Schizosaccharomyces pombe: one gene and its partners. Changing the gene in region 3 together with the main gene of any one other region gives a genetic interaction. Each region holds a gene or a part of one and is shown on either strand. Other genes may lie near its edges. The genes, in order: swd22, arp6, hos2 and amk2.

Evidence for each region.
Region 1: mutations in hos2 (region 3) and swd22 together harm fitness more than expected from each alone (negative genetic interaction), as found in Schizosaccharomyces pombe (2 studies listed by BioGRID).
Region 2: mutations in hos2 (region 3) and arp6 together harm fitness more than expected from each alone (negative genetic interaction), as found in Schizosaccharomyces pombe (2 studies listed by BioGRID).
Region 4: mutations in hos2 (region 3) and amk2 together harm fitness more than expected from each alone (negative genetic interaction), as found in Schizosaccharomyces pombe (2 studies listed by BioGRID).

Annotation. Positions count from the first base shown.
Region 1 is NC_003424.3:1,686,918-1,692,215, reverse strand, and holds swd22 (Set1C-histone-H3K4 methyltransferase complex subunit Swd2), read right to left. Parts: upstream 1,951-5,298; 5' UTR 1,855-1,950; coding exon 829-1,854; 3' UTR 501-828; downstream 1-500. Other genes in the region: HOPS complex subunit Vps16, read right to left, coding at 1-55, 104-138, 179-209; SPOM_SPAC824.03C (uncharacterized protein), read left to right, coding at 2,571-3,314; bst1 (GPI inositol deacylase), read right to left, coding at 3,598-5,298.
Region 2 is NC_003421.2:1,208,944-1,214,512, reverse strand, and holds arp6 (Swr1 actin-like protein Arp6), read right to left. Parts: upstream 2,575-5,569; 5' UTR 2,506-2,574; coding exon 2,426-2,505; exon of another isoform or gene 2,355-2,425; coding exon 2,240-2,354; exon of another isoform or gene 2,168-2,239; coding exon 1,157-2,167; 3' UTR 854-1,156; downstream 1-853. Other genes in the region: Hsk1-Dfp1 kinase complex regulatory subunit Dfp1, read right to left, coding at 1-67; nmd5 (karyopherin), read right to left, coding at 3,424-5,569.
Region 3 is NC_003424.3:3,167,487-3,173,025, reverse strand, and holds hos2 (class 1 histone deacetylase Hos2), read right to left. Parts: upstream 3,356-5,539; 5' UTR 2,917-3,355; coding exon 1,612-2,916; 3' UTR 1,514-1,611; downstream 1-1,513. Other genes in the region: phenylalanine--tRNA (Phe) ligase alpha subunit Frs2, read left to right, coding at 169-258, 327-1,442; png1 (chromatin modification-related protein), read left to right, coding at 3,984-4,835; tif211 (translation initiation factor eIF2 alpha subunit), read right to left, coding at 5,482-5,539.
Region 4 is NC_003421.2:2,206,208-2,211,438, forward strand, and holds amk2 (serine/threonine protein kinase AMPK (beta) regulatory subunit Amk2), read right to left. Parts: upstream 2,821-5,231; 5' UTR 2,793-2,820; coding exon 2,768-2,792; exon of another isoform or gene 2,715-2,767; coding exon 2,454-2,714; exon of another isoform or gene 2,284-2,453; coding exon 2,181-2,283; intron 2,085-2,180; coding exon 1,616-2,084; intron 1,568-1,615; coding exon 1,529-1,567; 3' UTR 1,278-1,528; downstream 1-1,277. Other genes in the region: pbn1 (GPI synthesis protein pig-X), read left to right, coding at 166-290, 334-397, 454-1,263; SPOM_SPCC1919.04 (uncharacterized protein), read left to right, coding at 4,896-5,231. UniProt on the Schizosaccharomyces pombe protein: Beta subunit of AMP-activated protein kinase (AMPK), which is required for transcriptional, metabolic, and developmental adaptations in response to glucose limitation.

The DNA of each region.
Region 1 (5,298 bases), 1.5 Mb from region 3:
CAAACATAAAGTCAACAGGATCTATATATTCCCATTCCGCCTTTCCAATAGCTGACTAGTTACATTAGTTTTTAACTCTGTTACAAATTCCATTCTGACGTACCTTTTGGTAATAAGTGTCTTGTAAAAGTTCCCATTCTTTCGTAAATTAGTATAACTATGCAACTGAACGGCATACCATAGATGGGATACTTTATTGAAGGCTCCATTTCTATTTTATTTAGAAAATGCTAAAAAGGTGAAGCAACTTCTATAAATGTAGTTCAATGTATATTACACGTGAGTATTGTGACGAACAGTGGTATCCCCGATCACACTTAAAGCAACTGGTAAGAGTCATCTCACTATGTCAAGCACCTAAACAATTCGCTTTCCCGTTTACCTGGGATTTCTTTAATTTAATCTTTTTTTTTAATTACAGTGGATTGAAGGAATAAGAAAACAGATATATCTAGGAGTCATTTACATGCATACGTATGCGTTATACAATGTCAACATGGTATATGTCAAAAGATAGAATAGTATTAACATTATTTTGCTTATCGCAAAGTTTGATTTCTTGATATTCATATATCAATGAATTCTAGCGAATCCTTTAATAAAAAGGGTATTAGTAAAAATTCTAACATTGCATGAAGAAAATTAAGATCGGGAAATATGAAAAATCAATTAAAGATTTATGAGGATTTTATATTTTAAAAATTTTTAGTTCATTTGTTGAAATGACAGGTTCCTCAGGTTTACGTATAGGTAGTTGTTGAAGACATAAATAAGATTATATAATAATTAAAACCTGGGAGAAGATTACGGTATGCTTTAGCAGTATAATCATGATGTTAAGGCATATTTTTCGGGAAGCCAAAAAACGAGTTGGGACCCTGCAGTCAAAAGTTGATCATACCTAGGATTATACTTAACAAGACCTGGATTAATTATAGACTGAGAAACAATACGATGTTCAGGAGGTCTTGTTTTTCCTTTATGGTGAAAGGTATGTCTTAAATTCCATACATTCAGGGTACGGTCGTCAGCAGATCCTATGACAAAATTACCTTGAGGTACAAAAGTGGTTGAGCCGCCGTGAAAATTGTTGGAGAACGGCAATTCTTGGAAGTCCTCTAATCTAGATAAAACATCCCCGCTGAATGCATCAAGTATATAGTGAACATTAGCTCTAGTTGAGAGAAGTATACATTTTCCATCGTTGGAAAACTCCATATGTTTCCACTCAGGCATCATGGGGGGAAACGAAAACCTTGATAAGTAACGAGAGTCATCTATTGTGAATGTTGAAAACGGATCAGAACCATAATTCCGCACGTCGTAAAGAAAGATACGTGACAGTGAATGACATGCAACCGCAAAAACAAGACCTGTGGGATCATAAGCGGGAATTCCAAGGGATGGGAGATCTAAATTTCCAAGGCATCTCGAGGATTGATTCATTTTCCAAAGCTTCAAGGTTTTGTCGTTTGCCGTACTAACGAATTGGTCTTCAATAGGAGAAACCTCAATGGATGAAACGATGTCCGTGTGCCCACTGAAGTACGATATTCTTTTGTTGTCATAAATTGAAACATATTGAATATCCTTATTCCCCTTTGTGGTAGACAAAAGTAGATTATGATCGTGGTGTGTAAAACGAGCAACTTCTATGCCGGTTTCGAAACAAGTTATTGTATGGACTTGCTTCGGATCTAAAGCATCATATATTTGGACTGTGTCATCGGCAGAACATGTCGTTGCAACATACTCTCCAGAATCACTGTAATCAATGCTATTAATGAAGCTTCCTAATGAGTTATCACGAAACGACTGTGCAGGCTTTAAACTCGAAAGTATGCCGATATCCATTGAGAATTAAATAAAATATATAAATTCTCTTTGAATTTCCTTTTATATCCCCTTAAGGGCCTTTCTACTTTGCTAAGCCCTTGCTTGCATTTGTTTACTTGTGATTCCACAAAATTAGAGTAGTGCCAGACAACGTGTTTAACGAACTGTAGCACGTTTTAGTATACAGTTTTAAATTACAATTCGAAAACTTTTAAAAAGAATAGTGAAGTTGAAAATTAACAGGCTATTAATTTCTCCACCAAAAATACACTTGATTAATAAAAGAGTCTGAAGGCTTGATATTGTGGAAATGGAGGCGTGATGTTATCAAAACTTTCATATTATCAAATATAATTTAAGAGTAAATTTTTATTAAGGAAAACTTATAAACAAAGCTACCAAGGAAGCTGGATCATTCCATGAAATACAGCAGAACCAGTTTCAATTATTTTGTCGCTTGCTTGTAATCCTCAAAGCTCTGTATTTTTGTTATTTTCTGAATAAATTTTTCTTAGATATCGCGAATTTGCTTTTGCAAACCGTTAACAGATTAATTAAAATTACTAAGGAACGGCGTGATTCACGAACTTCTAAAATTCAGCAAAAATTATTTAAATAACTACTTTCGATCCTCAGTCGTTGTTATTCGAATTAGAAGGGAATGAATATTTGCATAATTCATTTCTTATCCTGAACTTTATACTGTTTAAGTCTTTCGCATTCTGTCTAGCGTGATGTGGATTTTAAAGTCAGGGTTCAATCGGTGTAGAAATTTTTCATTCATGAACAGAGGCCTTTTAGGCCTTAGAAACTTGTCTGTCACACACAACAATCTTGTTTCCTATTTAGAACATTTGAGTGTTCAGAAGCCTTCAACGTCGAATACTGTTGCCCAAGGAACCTTGTTTGAATACTTGGTACAGTATGTGCTAAAGCAACACAGTTTTCAGCTTGAAAGATGTGGTGGAAAGGGCGATGGTGGGGTGGATTTGGTGGGCCAATTTTCGATTAAAAATGTGTTGTTTGAGCCCACCAAAGTTGTCGTATCCTGCAAATCTAACAAGGGATCAATAGGGCCCAGATTTGTTAGAGAGCTTGAAGGCTCTTTGTCATCTTATCCAACAGATACTCTTGGGATTTTGGCTTGTTTGGGTTCTTTCACATCATCCTCACTGAAGACTTTGTCCATCAGCAACAGACCTCTTGCCTTATGCCGCATATATGTTGACGGATTTCATAGCTACATGTTTCAATTTGTTTGGAATCACCAAGCTTTGGCTATTTTTCCCGACCTGAGTGTGCGCCAGATTTACAAGCTTCCTTCGCCAACCGCTAATATTGTGCCTTTATCTCAGGAATTTTCCCAAGTGAATTATGTTTCCTTATTTGAACTATTACAGCCATTATCACGTACGGAAGAAAGGCCAGTACCTTTAGTGTTGGTCTACAAAAATCAAAAAATATCTCTTAACTGTTGATGACAGCTCATATATTAATTCATCTTTTTCTATTTCCATCATGCTAATGTGAGTTATTCAGTCTTTGATAAACCAATAAACTTTGTAAAGAGATATTATTCAAGGTAATAAATAGAAATAAAATTCAATGAACGAATGTCTACCAAATAAAAACGAAGTTCTATCTTGAAAATTAAAGTATGATAAGTGTTCAACAGTGTGAAAATAAAGGAAATAATGTAATATAAAAGAGAGAATAAAGAAAAAAGAGAAAAGAATTAAATAATATTGTTACAAGTTTCCATTAAGAAATAGATCGCAAAAATTTGTGCTTAATAAAATACTTCATTCTAGGAATGATCGGCCATTTCGAAATGTTTTGTACAAAAAAACCATTCTTGGCATACAAAAATAAAAGCCAAAAAAAGTATAACCCAACTACATTGTGAATGAGGTATGGTTTTTCAGCTCCATATATCAATGAATAGAAAGACAGAAGAAACAAAAAAACGTTATTTATGTAGTACTCCACGTCGTTCAAACGAGGTAGCATCTTTCCTGTTCGTAAAATTTCGGTGAGTAATATAAAAGGGATAATTGAGAAGAAATTATGATGTGTGGGGAAAGGAATAGACCAATGCATGGAAAGATTTCTAGCCCAAACAATGAGAACAGGAAAGTCCAAAGGAGCTAAGAGTAACATCAGTATTGTTATCGTGCAAGAGAAATTGTAGAAATCCCACAATTTTTTTCGGTAATGGCTTGACTTGGTGCAAAATCGGGCCAAGTGTAAAGCTTTAGCAGTAGTTACTGTCTGGGTACATAAAGCAACACCATAAACAAGTTGAAAGGGTACCACCGTCATTGCCATGAGCAACAATAACATGATGCCAATTATCCGAGCTTGCATATGCTTCTTTCCATATACGTAACAGAGAGAAGGGTTTGCATAATACATATTTCTCTGAGATAGAAAACTCGAAAGTTTTTTAAATTCTCCATGATCCAATTTTCTAGTATTTCTTGTTCTCAGACATTGAAAGGAGAACTTCACAGCTTGGCATACACCAGTAAAAGTCAAACCTTTATAACGCAAGTAGATACCATATATGAATGCTAATAAATGCATGACACAGAGTATAATAACACTGGCTGTTATAACTAAGCCAACAAACATTAAAGTTAACAGCGGGGCGAGGAACCAAAATTGAGCAGTCTGTAGTCCAAAAAGTAAATGATTTTGTTTCCAGAAAGATTTTGGAACCATCATTGCGAATATTTTCCAAGAGGCGACAGGGTCAGCACCATCGGCAACAATCAACTCTACTCTGCTAATTAAATATGAAAATGCAATTGACAAGATCGAAACTAAAAAAAGGAGTTTGATAAGTCCTTTGCGAATCATGACTTCAAGTGCAGCCGACATACTCAAGTATGCAGAACCGTAATGAAAATACCTAAACTGATTGTAAGCTGCCAAACTAATTACAACCACAGGAAAGGAAGCAAGTAATGTTCTGTAACGCATGAGCAGACGCCCAGCGCTCCTGTAATAACTTGGCTGTATTGAAACATAAACCGACTTATAGATAGCAGGATTCAAAAAGAATTCGAGAGTTAAAGATTTTTCTGATTCCTTACCAAAAAATTCCATAAATGGGGATATCCCGTGAACAGAAAGTTCTGTATTTGACATATTCACATGATATTTTGTTTCAAATGGAGATTCAATACTTTGCTTTAACATAGGGGTAAATTCTTTTTGAGGTACGGCACCAGGATAAAGTTCGTACGTTACTGAAATGGTGTAAGCCATAATTGAGCTCTGAATACCAGGGAACCTGAAGCGTTTCGAAATCGATCCTTTGGTGTCGAATTGAAATTTTCTTCCGCTTTTGAAGAGTTCAATTTGAGAACCTTTAATCGTTTTAGGATCCAACGAAACATTTGAAAATCCCCCAACAACAAACCCACTAGCGGGTGCTTTCGAATCATCAGACACTAA
Region 2 (5,569 bases), on a different chromosome or scaffold from region 3:
CGGCATCATGTTTCGGGAGTACTATATTCGCAGATCGAGGAGCTAGAGGACATCTTCCTAGGTTCATGTGGTACAGCCACCTTACTAAATTAGTGTATTTGATTTTTCCTCTTAATGAGAGCCTAGCTTGGGATTAATTCTCTTTGTTTACTTTCGCAAAAGACAATATTAGTGTTTGGTGGTGGTCAACTCGAGATTACTGCAATTTGGCCAACTTTTACAGCTTAAAGTAACGATTCAATTGGGTAACATCTATGAAGAAAATATAAAATATCTGTACATATTTATATTATTAAAGTAAATTTATATCATTTAATCAACTTTTACTTTTATATTTAAGGCTTTACTGTTGAAAATGTGAGGGAAAATATATGTAGCCCATGAACAAGGCTCAACAGAAATAATTTGGGATCTCGATTCTTCTTATTACACAGTTTTCCTTTACTGAATTATATGATTAACTTGAGAAAAAGAACAATTTATCCAACAGAAGCAACAAAATTTCACGAAAAGCTCTTTCTATCCAAAATGTAAACAGACGCGACACGACTACATTGCAACGCAACGCGCTACATTCTAATTAAAGTAGTATACCGTGACTGCTCTAACTCAAGGTTGCTTTAACTCTTATACTGTCAACCTGAAACTGCACTGTACATATAAAATGCACTTGAAACAGTAGTGAAGAAGTGCTGAAATTTTTCTTTTTTTTCAATCTTGTTTTTCAGGCACATTAATAATATGTAAGTATAAACACTTGAAGAGATAGAATGTTACATATGATGCTTTACAAATCGATTAGTCTTGAAGACACAACTATGTGGTTAAATTTTTATACTTGTATACTGATTTTCATTCCTATCTTTTTTATAATATCTTTCATTTCGCTAACGCTTTTTAGGTATGAATTATCCTGGCGACAATAATAAAGATATAGTTATTTAGCTGTTGTTTTAGTGGTTGATCAAGAGATAGAATGATTCGTTAATTAATATAAAAAGATTTTATTCTTAATGCATGCATATTTTTCGTTTTATATTGCTGTAGCCTTAATGTAATAAACCAATTTCTTAAGATGCGAATTATCAGCTCGCCTTGAGAATTTTGTGAAGATAGAAATTTAACCCACATTATTGAGTTTTAAAATGGTGATCTATTATATTCTCCTTTTTCGTGTCATTATGTTTGCTCCATGTTCTGAGTACTCAGAACGAGTTATTTTATTCGCATTCCAGTGCTCCAACGGCATATGAGATGCCTTTTTCCATGGAAAGCAAATAGGATCTGAAGGTTCAAAAACTTTAACTTCCCAATTAGCTGGTGCCAGCGACCGTAATTCAGATGATAGTCTTTTATGAAATCCGGGAAATTTACAGTTTCCTCCTATTGTAACAACATTTTCAAGCAACATTGCCTGTATATTTTCAGGAAAGTGGGTGACACTTTGCATGACCGCCTCTGGAATCCCAGCCTCACGTATTTCGATATCAGATGGGGAAAATAATAATTCTGGTATCATGAATCTCTCATTTGAAAGATTCAAAACTTGTTGCTCTATTTTTTGATTAATATCTCTAACAATATATCCATGTTTTCCAGTGCTGTAATCGGGCAAAGCATAACAAATTTCCAATTTTGACCGTGGTTTTTCGTGACATATCTCCATGTCCTCCTTGAAGTTTTGAGACACATAACAAACGGACTCTTTAATTTCATTAACAATGTATGTTTCTTCCATCATATTGTACTTCCGGTATGAGATGACTTCTTTTAAATAATTCGTAAGTAATTTCCCTCCCACATCAACTCGCTTTACCGCTTGTTCTTGAACAGAGAAATCAATCACAGGAATTATGTGTGTAAAGCTATATCCAGAGTCAATTACCAAAACGCATTCTCCATGTTGACCAGTATACGCATCTTCTTGATTCATTGTGAAACTTCCATGATCCCAAGGAATTAGCTCAGCTGGGGTGCAAGGGAGGTAAGCATCGAATTGGAATTCCTCAAACACGAGTTGTATAGTATTGTGTTCTATGGAAGGCATTGTAAATACGGGCTGTGTAAGCAGTAAAGAATAGTCTGCCATGCTAGGTTCCATCACACCTACATTGCGCATTACCAAGTCCCATACGGCTGTTTCTGTGCTCCAATGGACCAAATACCCCTACTAGTATTAGTAAACATAATCTTTGTATTTATTTTGTTCGTAAATAATACTCCCTCATAAATGCTGTACCTTTTCATGCGCCCTGCGAAATTGTAAAGTTGTAAAGTCGTTACAGTTGGCCAATTCATTCCCCAAAAATAATCTGTTTCCATCTTTTGATCTCGTCAAACAATTCGGAATTTCACTAAAAACTATCGTTAGCTGAAAAAAGTAAAAGATACATGAAATTTATTGACGTGATGCACTTCTTCTTACACAACTTTTCCACCTGCAAATCCAGCTTTTATATGGTATGCCCCATTGTCTAAAACAATAGTTTTAGGGGGTAGTCCCATATTATTAATAAAAATGTATTCCTATATCTTAGGTCTTAACTTCACCCAAAAACCGCGATTAAATGTACTGTTGTTACGGCTTTGGAATGCTGTTATATGATAGCGTTGTGCTATAACAACAATATCATTACAGTTTGAAGCAATAGTATAATAACGCTGGCTCTTAAAGATATTTATGATATTTTTAATAATATCATAAATTTGAAGGATATCTTTTTAAAATAACTTTAAAGATAAATCTTGCAAATCTTAGCTTTATCAATATAACAACATCGTTAATGGGGGGCTGTCTATCAAATTTAGTTTGTAAAAGCCGTTTATCATATTATCCAACCCCTAAACTAGCCGTTATCAATTTAGTTAGCTGCTTAATTCAACGTACATCTAATATACCATTCATAAACACCGACTTTCCCTATACTACTAAATCGTGGATACTTAACTTTATGCTTATTTCCTCAAGAAAAATATATTTCTATTTCATTTTCTCATCAACTTGCGTTTGTCAATTCGCATAAAGTAAAAGCAAATGAACTAGTATTAATCGATTTTAAAACTTCTCATATTTATTAACTGGTATATTATGATTTTAAATTTCATTTAATCAATTGGCGTTCCAAAATTCTTATAAAAGAAACACACCTCTGCGTTTGTTTTCACCGAACTGTAAACCGATACAACAATAATTTTCTTAGCCTTCCCTTTAGACAAACCCTCCATCCATTTTTCCCAAGCCATAATTCCGGGTCGTATCTCATTGAAGAAATTATTTTTACAAACCCGTAGAGTTTGATTTCCCATTTAAAAAGAGCCGTTCAAATATGTCAGTTTGGCTTATTACCACTGTGTAGAAAATGCTTGTTTTATATTTTTATATTTTATTACCAAAATTGGACAGGCTTAGAGCGCCAAACAGGCTCATGTTTTATCGGAAGCGACAGCAAGGGTAGAGGGTTTTTCAGTTACCAATCTCTGTAAGGATTGCTGCTCGGATGCTTCCAAATTTTTGACAAGATCTTGTAATGTGACAGGGCTGTTGTCCTTTAAATGAACCATAAACTCTTGGAAAAGTGAAAATGGATCAACTTGATCTAACAAAGTATGGAAAAGAGGATCCTCGTCCAACAAGTAATTTCCTTGGAAATGCTCAAATTCGTCAAAATCGTCAACCACATCAGCCGAGATTTCTCCACCCAAATCAGGTCCCCCATATTCGACGGCAAAGTCATCGACACCCTCATCATCATCGGCTTCCCAATCGATGCCATCATTCCAACCAGAGCCAGATAAATTAAATGTTTCACCGTCATACTCTTTTTCTAATTCCGCGCGAGCAGCTAATGCTTCAGGTAGTGTATTTAAAAGAGTTATCATGACTTTCATTATATTACCCCAAGAGTCTTGGATAGCAACAGCAACTTGTTGAGCTCCCAGTGAAATTACCGATAAAATAGCTACCAAACTCAACTTTTTATCATGCACACGAGTAAACGAAGGTATATTTTCAAACCATAACGCAAAGAATGGTAAAGTCCACTGATGCATTTCAAGTACCCCAAGAGACATCGATGGGTTATAATATAATGCATTGATTATAACCTCCAACAAAAATACGCGGTATGTTTGAGAAGTTGGCTTTTCAGTTACAAGTAAGAGATTACCAGCAACCTCAATAAACGCAGGCACATATTGATCCAAAAGGCCACGATAATTAAGCATTAAAAGTTCGGTTAGTTTACAAGCCGAAACACGGTCATTGACGGCCAGGTGCTCGCTATTAAAAACTTGCATGATAATATCAACCATAACGGCGATATAATCAGGACGGGAAGCAAATTCCTTTCCACCATACGTGATAAAGTTACTTAAGGCAGGAGTTGCCTCCTCTACAAACTCAATGCCAGACTCTTTCAACACCTTTTGAAGCTTTTCATACACGCCCCACATAATAGGGGATATCTCCTTAGAAGCAAAAGTGCAACCATCGATAATTTCAAACAACTCTGCATACACGTCAAAAATGTTGTTATCTAATACAAAATTAATCATTGGAAGTAAGATTGCTTCAATTTCACGTAAGACATCAACCGTGTTCTCGAGACTTAAAATCATTGTACTGAGAGTATTTAAAATGCCAATAGCCGCAATCGATTTATCATCAACTAAGGAGTCAAAATCATCTACGGTAGTAGATTCGTCCATGGTTTCTTGCATAAGCTTGACGAAGGTATTGCGAAGTTGTTTAGCCAATTGTGAAGCAAAAGGTGTTAACTCGTGACTAAAAGAACTTACAAATTCCTCCATACAAGAAGATAAAGCATCAATATCAACTTCATTCGCCAGAAATAGGAGATTTTGCATAATGATGGGTACATGGGCGGTCATAACATCGTGTACCTCCAGATGACGCATAAGTGGTTGCAAAGCTAAAGCAGCTTGAATTCTCACAGGTAAATCGTTATCTTGAAGACAATTCAAAACTGCCTGGTATGCATTCAAAAGCTGCGATTTATCACTCCAATCAATTTCTGAAAACCGATTGATCATTTCACAAGCTCGAGATCGTAAATAACCAACTGGGCTAGTAAATTCGGGCATAACGTGAGCGACAAGGAAATCTTGCATCATGCCTGCAACAGGGGAGTTCTTAGAAAGGATGGAATTAGATACAGCAGCAACCATACGAAGTGCACCTTCTTTCTGGCGAGGATTTTTTTCATTAGGAGGTGAAGCGGCGTATTGGTTCAGGATGTCACTGGCGAAGGAAAGAATACCCATGAACGTATATTTCTTGCGTTTCGATGCTAATTTCACAAGGAACCGTGAAGCAGCAACATCAGCAGAATTGAAATCATCATAGATATCAATATATTTGTGAATAAACTCTACTGGATCAAGTTCCCAAAGTTCTTCATCTTCTTCGCTCATACATAATTGAGGAAACACAAAGCTGCCAATCAATAGTTGAAGATGAGGCTTGAGGAGTGCCCAAGTGGACTTTGGCTTCACACACTCTTCATAGAAGCATCCCAAAAAATACAAAACACGGGGAGATAACCAGAGC
Region 3 (5,539 bases):
AACGACGAAGCATTTAAATATAATTAAGTCTAAACGCCCGGTAAATATTGTTAGTTTTTTTTTTCTAGCATTATGTTGCATTTTCGATTTTTCGCGTTTTGATGCAACACCTTTTCATATCGCTACGTCTGCCTTTTAGTTTTTTTGTACTTTTTCTAACTGATTTAGAAAAAATTGGGGAATTCGGCTGGTATTGGTCAAGGAAGAGCCTTTAAACTCGGTTGGATTAAGAAAGATGGAGACAAGCTTGTTAAAAATGTAAGGCAAAGTTATAGTAGTGCAAATTGATTTAACGTTATGCAATATTTTATTTACTAACTGACCAGACTGATTCCATTACAGATGAGACCCCTAAGGTCCTTAGTGAAATTAAGGAACATGGAACTATCTCTGACAGTAAGACGTTAACTGATTTGAAGAAGAGAAAGCTTGTTGAACGTAACAAAATTATGTACTTCTCTTTGAGGAAAGGTCCAAATTTCTCGCTTCAAATTGAAAAACTGAACACCGATTTAACTGCTGAGATGATCACCTCTCGATCATGGGAAAGTGCCAAGTTTAAATCTTACAACTTTGCAGCTGAAGGTATACCTCCAGCTGGTGGATGTCTTCATCCTTTGATGAAAGTACGTGAAGAATTCCGTAAATTTTTCTTCGAATTGGGTTTTGAAGAAATGCCAACCAACAATTTTGTTGAAAGTGGATTTTGGAACTTTGATGCTTTATTTGTCCCCCAACAACATTCAGCAAGGGATGCTCAAGATACTTTCTTTTTGAAAGTTCCTGCTTCTACTGATAAATTGCCAGATCCCGAATATGTTGCTCGAGTAAAGGCCACTCACGAAAACGGTGGTGAGACTAAGGGCATTGGATACCGTGCTCCCTTTTCCTTGGAGGAAACTCGTAAACTAGTTCTTCGTACTCATACTACTGCTGTCTCGGCGAATATGTTGTACAAACTTGCCCAAAATGGCTTTCACCCTGCTAAATACTTCTCAATTGATCGGGTCTTCCGCAATGAAACCGTTGACGCAACTCATCTTGCCGAATTTCATCAAGTCGAAGGCGTAATCTGCGATAGAAATATTACCCTCGGTGATTTGATCGGTTTCCTTGAGGTGTTCTTTGGAAAAATGAACGTTAAAAATTTGCGCTTCAAACCTGCTTATAATCCTTATACTGAACCTTCATTGGAAGTCTTTTCCTACCACGAAAAGCTTGGTAAGTGGGTTGAAGTCGGAAACAGCGGCATGTTCCGTCCGGAGATGTTAGAGCCTATGGGATTACCTAAAGATGTTCGTTGTTTAGGTTTTGGTCTTTCTTTAGAGCGCCCCACTATGATCAAATATGGTGTGGCCGACATTAGACAATTGATTGGTCCTAAGGTTAACTTGGACCTAATTGAGGCTAGCCCTGCAGTTCGTTTAGACAAAGAGGAATAAATTTAGTGTTTTTTTTTGCATAATCGTTTATAAAAATAATACATAATCACTATGGTAAACGTATTTTCGTATAGGGTCAATTATTAATATTTACAATGTCTATAAACATTAACTAAAATTATTTGATGTTTGTACGGATATCAAATAAAAAGTCGAAAATTCATTAATATCAGCCTCGAACGCGAACATCCACAGCTTTGTCTAAGTATTCATCATTCAACCGTTCGTCTTCTTCTTCCAAATGCCCAGTTAAGTCTGGTGGAATTTGCTGCATCTGAACGCTTGGCGCTCCTCCTAAGTAACGTAATTGCTCCAAGGCCCGTATTCGAAGATCTTCAAGAGCTTTCGGTGTATTTTTATTTTCTATCTTCGTGGTTAATCGCGGATGGAGGGTGTAATCTGGTGCGAAAAATTCGTAATACAAAGTTTCACGAGGTAATTCTGAAGGTATTTGTTCGTTTACACATATGGAAGTTTCATAACACCACGCTCTAGCAACATTTCTAAGAGTATAACCACCACCTCCAACTACAAGCATGGGTATATTGAATGAACGGGTAAATCTAACACATTCCCCATGTGCATGGATGCTCAGATTGAACACGCCGAGCCGATCATAACCAAGCGAATCAGCACCACACTGAAGGACAATTGCAGAAGGTTGAAAAGTATTGATAGTTGGTTCAATTATGGATTTGAAAAGACTAGTGTACTGTTCATCACCAATACCATCTTCCAAAGGAACGTTTAAAGCAAAATATTTCCCTCCTTTCACGCCATTTTCATCAAAATTACCAGTTGCAGGAAAAAAATCACCATTATACTTGTGAAAAGAAACCGTCAACACGCGGTCAGATTCATAGAATGCTTGCTGCACACCATCTCCATGATGAATATCGATATCGATATACAAAACGCGAGGAAAAAACCGTAGCATGTTCAAAATTGCTAGAACAATATCATTAACATAGCAGAATCCACTAGCCTCACCACGCTTTGCATGATGGAGACCACCGCTCCAATTGATAGCAATGTCTGTTTGACCTTGCACTAACTTCCGAGAAGCATCCAAACTAGCGCCTGCCGACCTTTGAGAAAATTCATAAGTGCCGTCAAAGACCGGACAGTCATCACCAATATTGAATTGTTGGAACTTATCAGCAAATTGTTCAGCATTATCAGGAGTAACGCGCTTAAGGAAATCCAAATAATCCTCCCTATGAAATTCTGACATTTCACCAAAAGTTGCCATCCGGGGGCTGAATACACTCATTTTGTTATGCAACCCATAACCCATCACTAAATGATTTGTAATGGTAATTCGATGGGGCTTCATTGGATGTTTGTCACCATAGTGGTAGTTTCCCACCTGTTCATCTAAGTGATATGTGACACGCTTTTTTTGAGGTCGAAAGCTAAAAAAAGACCCCTTTTCAACTTGTTCATAAGGTGTGGATGTCTCAGGAGTATCCATGATATACAGACTATTATACTAAAAAAAACCGCGAGACAAATTAAATGAAAATATCTTTTCTAAAGAAAGAACAAGAAAAGAATAAATAAAATTAAGAAACAAATTAATAACTGTTTCAGAAGAAACAAGAGAAATGAAAGTTATTGACCAATGCCAAATTAATATAAATCGAAAAACAACCCAGATTTTTTTATAGAAAAGAATTCAATCCAAATAATAAACAGCAACACGAACTGTAAATACTTTATTTTTACGTCGAGCGCAGAATACGTAGCAAAAGGTCGCTAAACCCGATACCTTATTAGATAAAATGTACAACTTCAACAAAGCGTTAATTCAAACTCTTTGAAGCCCATAAACACAAGAACAAATAGGATTTACAATTTTTTGAAGAATTGCTAGTGCTGGTTCATTCTTATAACTTAAAAATGTATATCTCAGTGAACACAGAAGGAAGCTACCAACTTAGGTGTAGTTTAGTATGTTATGCTTCCATATATGAACTAACACATTAATAACGTATCGTTATTACTTAAACAGATGGTAACCTTTAGCATGTGAATTCATAGACAATTTGGCAACTTAGATATCATACATACGTTGAAAAGATTTATCTTCAAAGTGATTTGGTTTGCGTGAATTCTTATGTTTTTATTTCGCCCTCTTTGCCTTCCAGTACTGTGTTTACATTATATGGAGTGGCGGAACTCAACACCAAATGTGGGCTACTATAAACAACCGGAAAAATTTTCAGCAGCTTAAGAGAGTGTAAAAATAATCTTTAAACGACACAAAAACGAGCCATAGGTTCATATATATTATTTCAATTAGTGTCTTTGTCCTTCTCGTTTGTACATTTATTGTCACATTCCTCTACTTTAAAAGATAAAGTCATAGTATCTTTTATTCATTAGTTATTGAAGTATCGAAAATATTAGTGGAATATCAACTTTCCCTATCTCTTTAAAAGACTCAAATCTCCCTTTCTTTTGGAATTTGAAATCATAATAATAATTTTTGCATAAAGCGGAAATTAGAACGTATCTATAATTTTCAATTTGAGAATAATGGCAGATGATACAGCTTACATACTAAGTGAGTATTTGCAAACGTTGGATAATGTTCCCAACGAAACAAAACACATCTTTGACGAAATTAGTGTGAAGGAAGTTGCTGTACATGACATCTGGAAGAGAATTCAAGCAGCTGATTCTCAGATTCAGTCATACATTAAATCACATGGTTCCTTGACCCCACATCCAAAAGAAGATGCTTTGTATTCGACGATTCGCGAGGAGTATCAAAAGGCAATTAATATACAGAACGAGAAAGTCCAGTTGGCGGATCGTGCCAGATTGGGACTTACACGGCACATAAAGCGATTGGATGATAGACTTGCAAAGGCCGGTCATGGATTTACAGCTGCGGAATTGTTAAATGCTCCTGACTACTATGCTTCTTCACCGTATGGTGGATACAGTCCAAGTGGTGCCTCAAGTGCTCGTCAAACACCGGCCCCTTCTCGGTCGGGAGCCTCAACAGCTGGTCGCCGTCGTACTTCAGCAACTACCAGGGGTGCAATTCAAAATGGAGTCTATCACTCTCCTTATACGGCTTCGTTGGCAGATTCTGGTTCAACTCGCGGTCAGAAGGTTTCGAATGCCACTGCAACCACCCAGTTAGAAACTAAGGCAGATTCCACAACGCCGAATGAAATGGTCTCAGAAGAAGATATGGAAGAGGATAATGAAAAGTATTGTTTTTGCCAGCAAGGATCATATGGGCAAATGGTCGCTTGTGACAATGCTAATTGTGAGCGTGAATGGTTCCATATGGAGTGTGTTGGTCTTAAAGCTCCTCCTGAAGGTACATGGTATTGCGAAGCTTGTAGGGATCAGAAGCTTGTTGATGCTAAGTAATTTTTCCCCAATCTAAAGTCTGTTGGTCTTCCCATTATTGAATGCAAGCATTGTTGTTTTTTTTTGGGCTTTAATATCCGCTAATTTTTCACCTGTTCCGAACTTACTATATTTGATTATACGTTGTTCAAGCTGTGTATATGTGATTTGCAAAATGGTTAATTTATTAATCATATCTTCACGATTACGAATCCTTTTTATCTTATTCTTGTCCTTGTTTGTTTTTCACTCACATAATAAGTACCAGATTACTTGTACATTAAGAAATTCAGTTCTTTAATTTCCCCAATCCTCCCCAAAGCAGATATTACACGCCGTAGCTAACCACAGTAATAAGTCTTTTGTAACTTTATTATTTGTAATTGCATTTGTTGTCCATTATTTCTACTATATTGGAACTGAACTTATTATTGTACATACAAAGGAACAAGATGCAGCGTCTAGCGTTTTCATATTATCTCGTAACATATAAAAGAACTCTTACGCATTCGGAAAAAAGAAGAGGAAATTTTTTAACCATAGATATCACTAGATAAATTTGATAAAGTGTATAGTACAAAATAAAAAGAACCCCAGATTATAATGGAACACTAAAGTGCCAAAAATTCACAATGAAAAAGCGTATATTAGCTAGTGTCTAATCCATTTACTCAGAACCGCTTTGGTCATCCTCTTCATCACCAGAGATTTCAGCATTTTCCTTT
Region 4 (5,231 bases), on a different chromosome or scaffold from region 3:
AATGCTGCACTTGGTGCAAAAATCGAAATTAAATTCCTGCGTGTACAACTCACTTTGAACCCCGCATAATTAAGTTATTGACTTTTTAAAGAAAGGCTACTTTAGAGAAGACAGTTAAATTTTACTGTTTTAATGAAATCGTTCATTCCTAATAAATACAATTAGATGGATTTACAAAGAACAAATCAAGATACTGGAACAACAACATTGTTTAAAGTTGTTATTTCCAACACAGTAAATTATTTGCCCAAGGGTGTTTGGATTCTAAGAAACAATACAATAGATTCTTTGTAAGTAGCTTCTTGAAAATGCTAGATCTAATACCATTTCAAGGTCTATCGCCAAACAGTTTAGGGAGATCAAAAACAATATTAATATATCGCATCTTTCGAGAGAGGTAATAACCTATATTCAACACTACGAATTGTGAAACCTCTAGCTAATTTGTACTAGAATTATTGGGTTGAAACCCCTTTTGGAAAGGTTTTCCATTCAGAAGTAGTATCTGAAGAATTTATGCAGATATTTATTGACAAAGGAAATAAAGCTTTAAACAATGAAGAAATGATTTTTGCTTGTATGAGTGAAAAGGGATGGAATGTGTCTTTGGAAACTGTTCCAAATTTAGATATACCAGTGGGTAGTTATGAGACACAGCTCGGTTTGCCGGTAGGTCTACATCCCAAATTGCATGTTCATTTGAAAAATCTGCATAAACCTGAAGACGAATGCTCTTTGCAGGGGTTCATGTACATACCACCTACATTGTTTATTGACAGGTACGAGCTATCTAATATTGCGGAAATGCATGCCGACAATTTAGGGCATGTTTTAGGAATTTGGGGTGAGACCGACTTGGAAGCACCTAGTTACAAATTAAATGGTACTGGGTCTTTTTTCTGGTTTGACATATATACGGACGATGGTTTGTTGCAAAAAGACTATATAGACACTATCATTCCCTTACACACACGTTATCAAAGCCCTCTCAAAGGACAAACATACTTAAAAACATCATTAACAAATCCCAAGTTTTTCTGGAATTGTGACACTGAAGACAAAGTAAATGATTTCAGATTTCTGTTTTCCAGTAAGAACAAATATACCTTACAAAACGATCCAACAACCTTAAGCATATCTATTCCAATAGCCGATTTATCCTATAAACATGTCGTAGAATGGGTGACTAATGGAGTCGCGATTTTTTCGTTCTTCTACCTATTGCTATATTTGTGGAAAAGGTTCCGTTACGCAAAGGATTAAGAGAATAACATCGTGAAGTGAAGTAACTAGATATGTATTTATAAAAATTAATTAACCTATGGATCGCTACATAGTGAAATATGAACTGGTTGCTTTGTGCTTGATATCACAGCGTAAAGTTTTCTCGAAACAAAATCGTGCAAATAAACCAATCAAATGAAGTATAATGATGGGATGTTTGAGAAATTTAAAAAAATAAATTTATCATTAAAGTGATTATATACGTCGCGAAATATAAACAATAAATTCGACAGATGCGGTATGGCTAGACATCAAAATTTTTAAACATAGCAGTAGTGACATACTGGGGAAACAAAGTTAGTCAAGCAACGCGTATAAGGAACCGACTTACCTTTCGATGATAGCGCGTAGTAGCACTTAAAGCGAGAACGCCTAACTGGGTATTTGCAGCTGCTAAATGGTTTAAAAGGACGTGATTAGGATTTGGCAAGACAGACTGATCCTCCTTATAGGCAGTATTTGAGTTAAGGATACACTTCTCAAGATGAGGAGGTAGAGAAGGGGGCTTTGGCAACTTCAACTCTTGAAGGGTGTTGCTAGTAAGAAAAGCTGGTATCTCCGTAGAATATTGCTCAGATTCAGACTTTTCCTCCATCGGAAGGTCCGTATGAACTTGACTCAATCTTTCATCAATACTAGCGCCTAACTTCTCATTAGCTTCCACCTCGAGGTAGTTGTAAAGGTTGCCTTCCGCATCGGTGGCAGTTGGAAAATCTGAAGAACAGCACCATATACCATCAACCAAGAATTTAAAACGCTGAGTTCCAGGACGTAATTGCAAAAGGACAGTGTAATCTTCGCTATTTGGCGAAAAAGTTAGCAAGCTTAAAACAGGATAAACAACCTATAAAGGGAGGCTCAAATATAGAAAAAAGCACACCATGAAAAACTCATACCTTTTCAGTAATTGGATTTTTTTCTTCCAACGAGAAAACGATCCAGTGACATAAACAACTTCACCGCCTCCTCTCCATCGAATAATGGTTGGCACACAAGGACCTATATGTGTAAGTAATTAAATTGTCAATTGCAAAAAATCTCCTTTCTGAAAACTATTGCAAACAAACGTTAAGGTCAACAGCTTAAATGATAATGCAATGTTACGGTAAATCACCCTTGTTACATAAGGATGTCAAGCAATCAAATAAACCGGTCTTAAAGAAACTTACCAGAATAAGGCTGATGTGTCTTCTTGCCTGAAGTTTGAGAACGGCGTTTCGTATGACCACTCGATCCTGAAGTTCCGTTTTGGGAAGTACGATTATTACCGCCTTCCTGCTGATTATCATCCGACATTTCACCTTCTTGATTCAAATCATCTGCAGCAATACTAATCATGCTTTGGGCACGTGGTTCTTTTGGAACGTTATTTGCATTGTCAGGCGTTGTTGTGGCATCTTGAGAAGGGACAGCATGTGCGCGAGTCTCTCCTAACATTAAATTAGATACTTATTTCACATGTGTTTAACTTAAAGGACATTACCCTCCTGAGATTGAACATTTCCCATTTTGAAATGATGTAAAGTAGTTTGTTCTGGCTTTGTAGCTCATCACTTTGAACTAAACCCCAACGAGCATGAAATAAGGTTATTTATTGTATCTAAGCTATCATTAAATAGTGGAAGCTAAAGTGCAGCGTTATTCACAGTTAAACGCTTCGTACTGTTTTGCAGCTTTATCAAAGAAAACATTAATTGAAAATCCATTTATTATAAAGAATAAATATCTAAAAGCTGTATGATAAAAGCTGAAAAATTTAATATTGCATTTGGGACGTATAATACAGTTCTACAACAGCTATGTATAATCTTTTGAAGGTAAAAAGCAGCATGCTTCTCATTCTTAATGGAAATGTTTAAAAAATTATTGAAGCTACATATGAAACGATATAGAAAAATTTTAAACTACTCTGTGCATTGAGAGGCCTTCAAGTTAATTATACACTAAAAGCGGTTCACTTATAATTATTGTAACTTAGCGAGGCTTTAATTGAGTTAAACTTCCATAACCGAAAGGCCTGCATATTATATGTTTATAAATTAATGAATACCTTGTACATTACGCTCGTATAGCTTCATCTTTTTTAACTACGTTCTAGTATAACAATATATAAGTATGGCGCAAAAACTTCTTTCGTAAAAAAGACGCTTCTATTTCTCAGACGAAATCACTCAAATTAAGTTACGAACTTAAAAAAAGCCTGAATTTCTAGATATCAAATGCTCTATTTCCGTCAATTTTTCATGTCTACTTATTATGCTGCGAAATAAGCGAACTAAAATCACTGCATTGCAAAAACAAGAACAGTGTTTTCAATGAACGTACTGATTAAATACATTCCATATGAAACGAAGAATATATTATTTTTTAGTTAAATGACGACTTTACCAAACCAAACGTGAATTTTTGTTGCGATGAATCCTTCACTTTATAATCTATAACGAAGCAAAGTAGTGAAAACTTATATGTTGTTAGTACGCAGCTCAGTATTGGTTTAATGATACAATAAAGTATGAAGTATTGTTTTTTGATATGATATGTTCCATTACAAAAATGTCATGAATTGAAGTACATATGGTTGAATATGCTGTTAGAGTACTCTTTCCGTTCACCTAACTCAAACGAAATTTTGATTTCAGTGGTAATCTTTTTATGCTGTTTTAAAGCCACGAACACGAGGAAGGATTTGAAATAGACCGTTTAAATATACAAATTATACCCATACATATCCTAGAGGCTTTTAATGAATAACCTACGCGATTTATTGTTTGCTACGTAGTTTGGTATTTGTTTAGCGATACACTAAAATGCGATGAGTTTCTTTTGCGGGCTACAAGATAACGGTATGGGTATGCTTCACTAACAATATTATATTTATTGTTATAAGTCTACTAGTATTGGTGACCGATTTAGCTAATAACTGAACTGAGGAACGAGGTTCAGTTTGTCTTAATTTAAAGCATTGAAAAAACTATGTAATAAAATAACATCTTTTTATTATTGAACACTATTATAATCTTCTTGATAACTTATCTTGTAAGTAAATAGAGCAAATAGAATATTAGAGCATATGTTATAGTGTATCGTAGTGTATTTTATATAAGCTGACATTAATGTATTGTAGGAATAGTAGTATTTAGAATTGGTATGTACGCTACGCAGTTTGGTATCTGATTTAAGGATACGTAGAACTACGGTGAGTTTTCCTTGTGATCTATTATATTACAATACACAGGTTGTATAAGTAGCAACTGAGTATAGGTATTGTATTAACTGGGTTATAATGTTACCTATCACTAATATAGCTCATAACTGAACTGAGGAACGAGGTTCAGCAGTAGCTCTATTTATAGTATTCAGATAATATTGATCTTAATAGATTATCATTAAGATCAATCTCCATATCGTATCATACATGGTACGATATATAATTAGAACATGTGACATATAGTGATACGCAACGTAGTGTATCATAGCGTAGTGTCATATTGCTGACATGGTATACAAGATAGTGCATTACGCAAACAACTTGAAAGGGCACCTTCCTTGATCACTTACATCCAGAGTGCTAATTATTAAGAGCACTAATTTAAAACTTTTTTGTTTAAGACATGGATCTCTCGTTTATTGAGGGCTTTGAAACTATATGGACTGTAGTCAGAGCTGTAGTGCTCAATTACTTATTAAGAAGCCTTAAAATTCTATCTACCATCCTATATGTGAGCGCTGTCATTTCCTGGAACGTTAGCTTGAAGGTCTTTGGTAATGTACTACTTCCAGGTTTTCTCACAATAAGAACAGTTGTAATATTTATTTTACGAATTGTGAGCCTATTTTTATGGATCCTTGCTGATCCTGCTATTCTTTTGGTTCAAAGCGTGTATTGGTACTTTATTCGTGCGCCTGCAAGATTCATTTTAATGGTCGGAATTACTTTATATCCATTG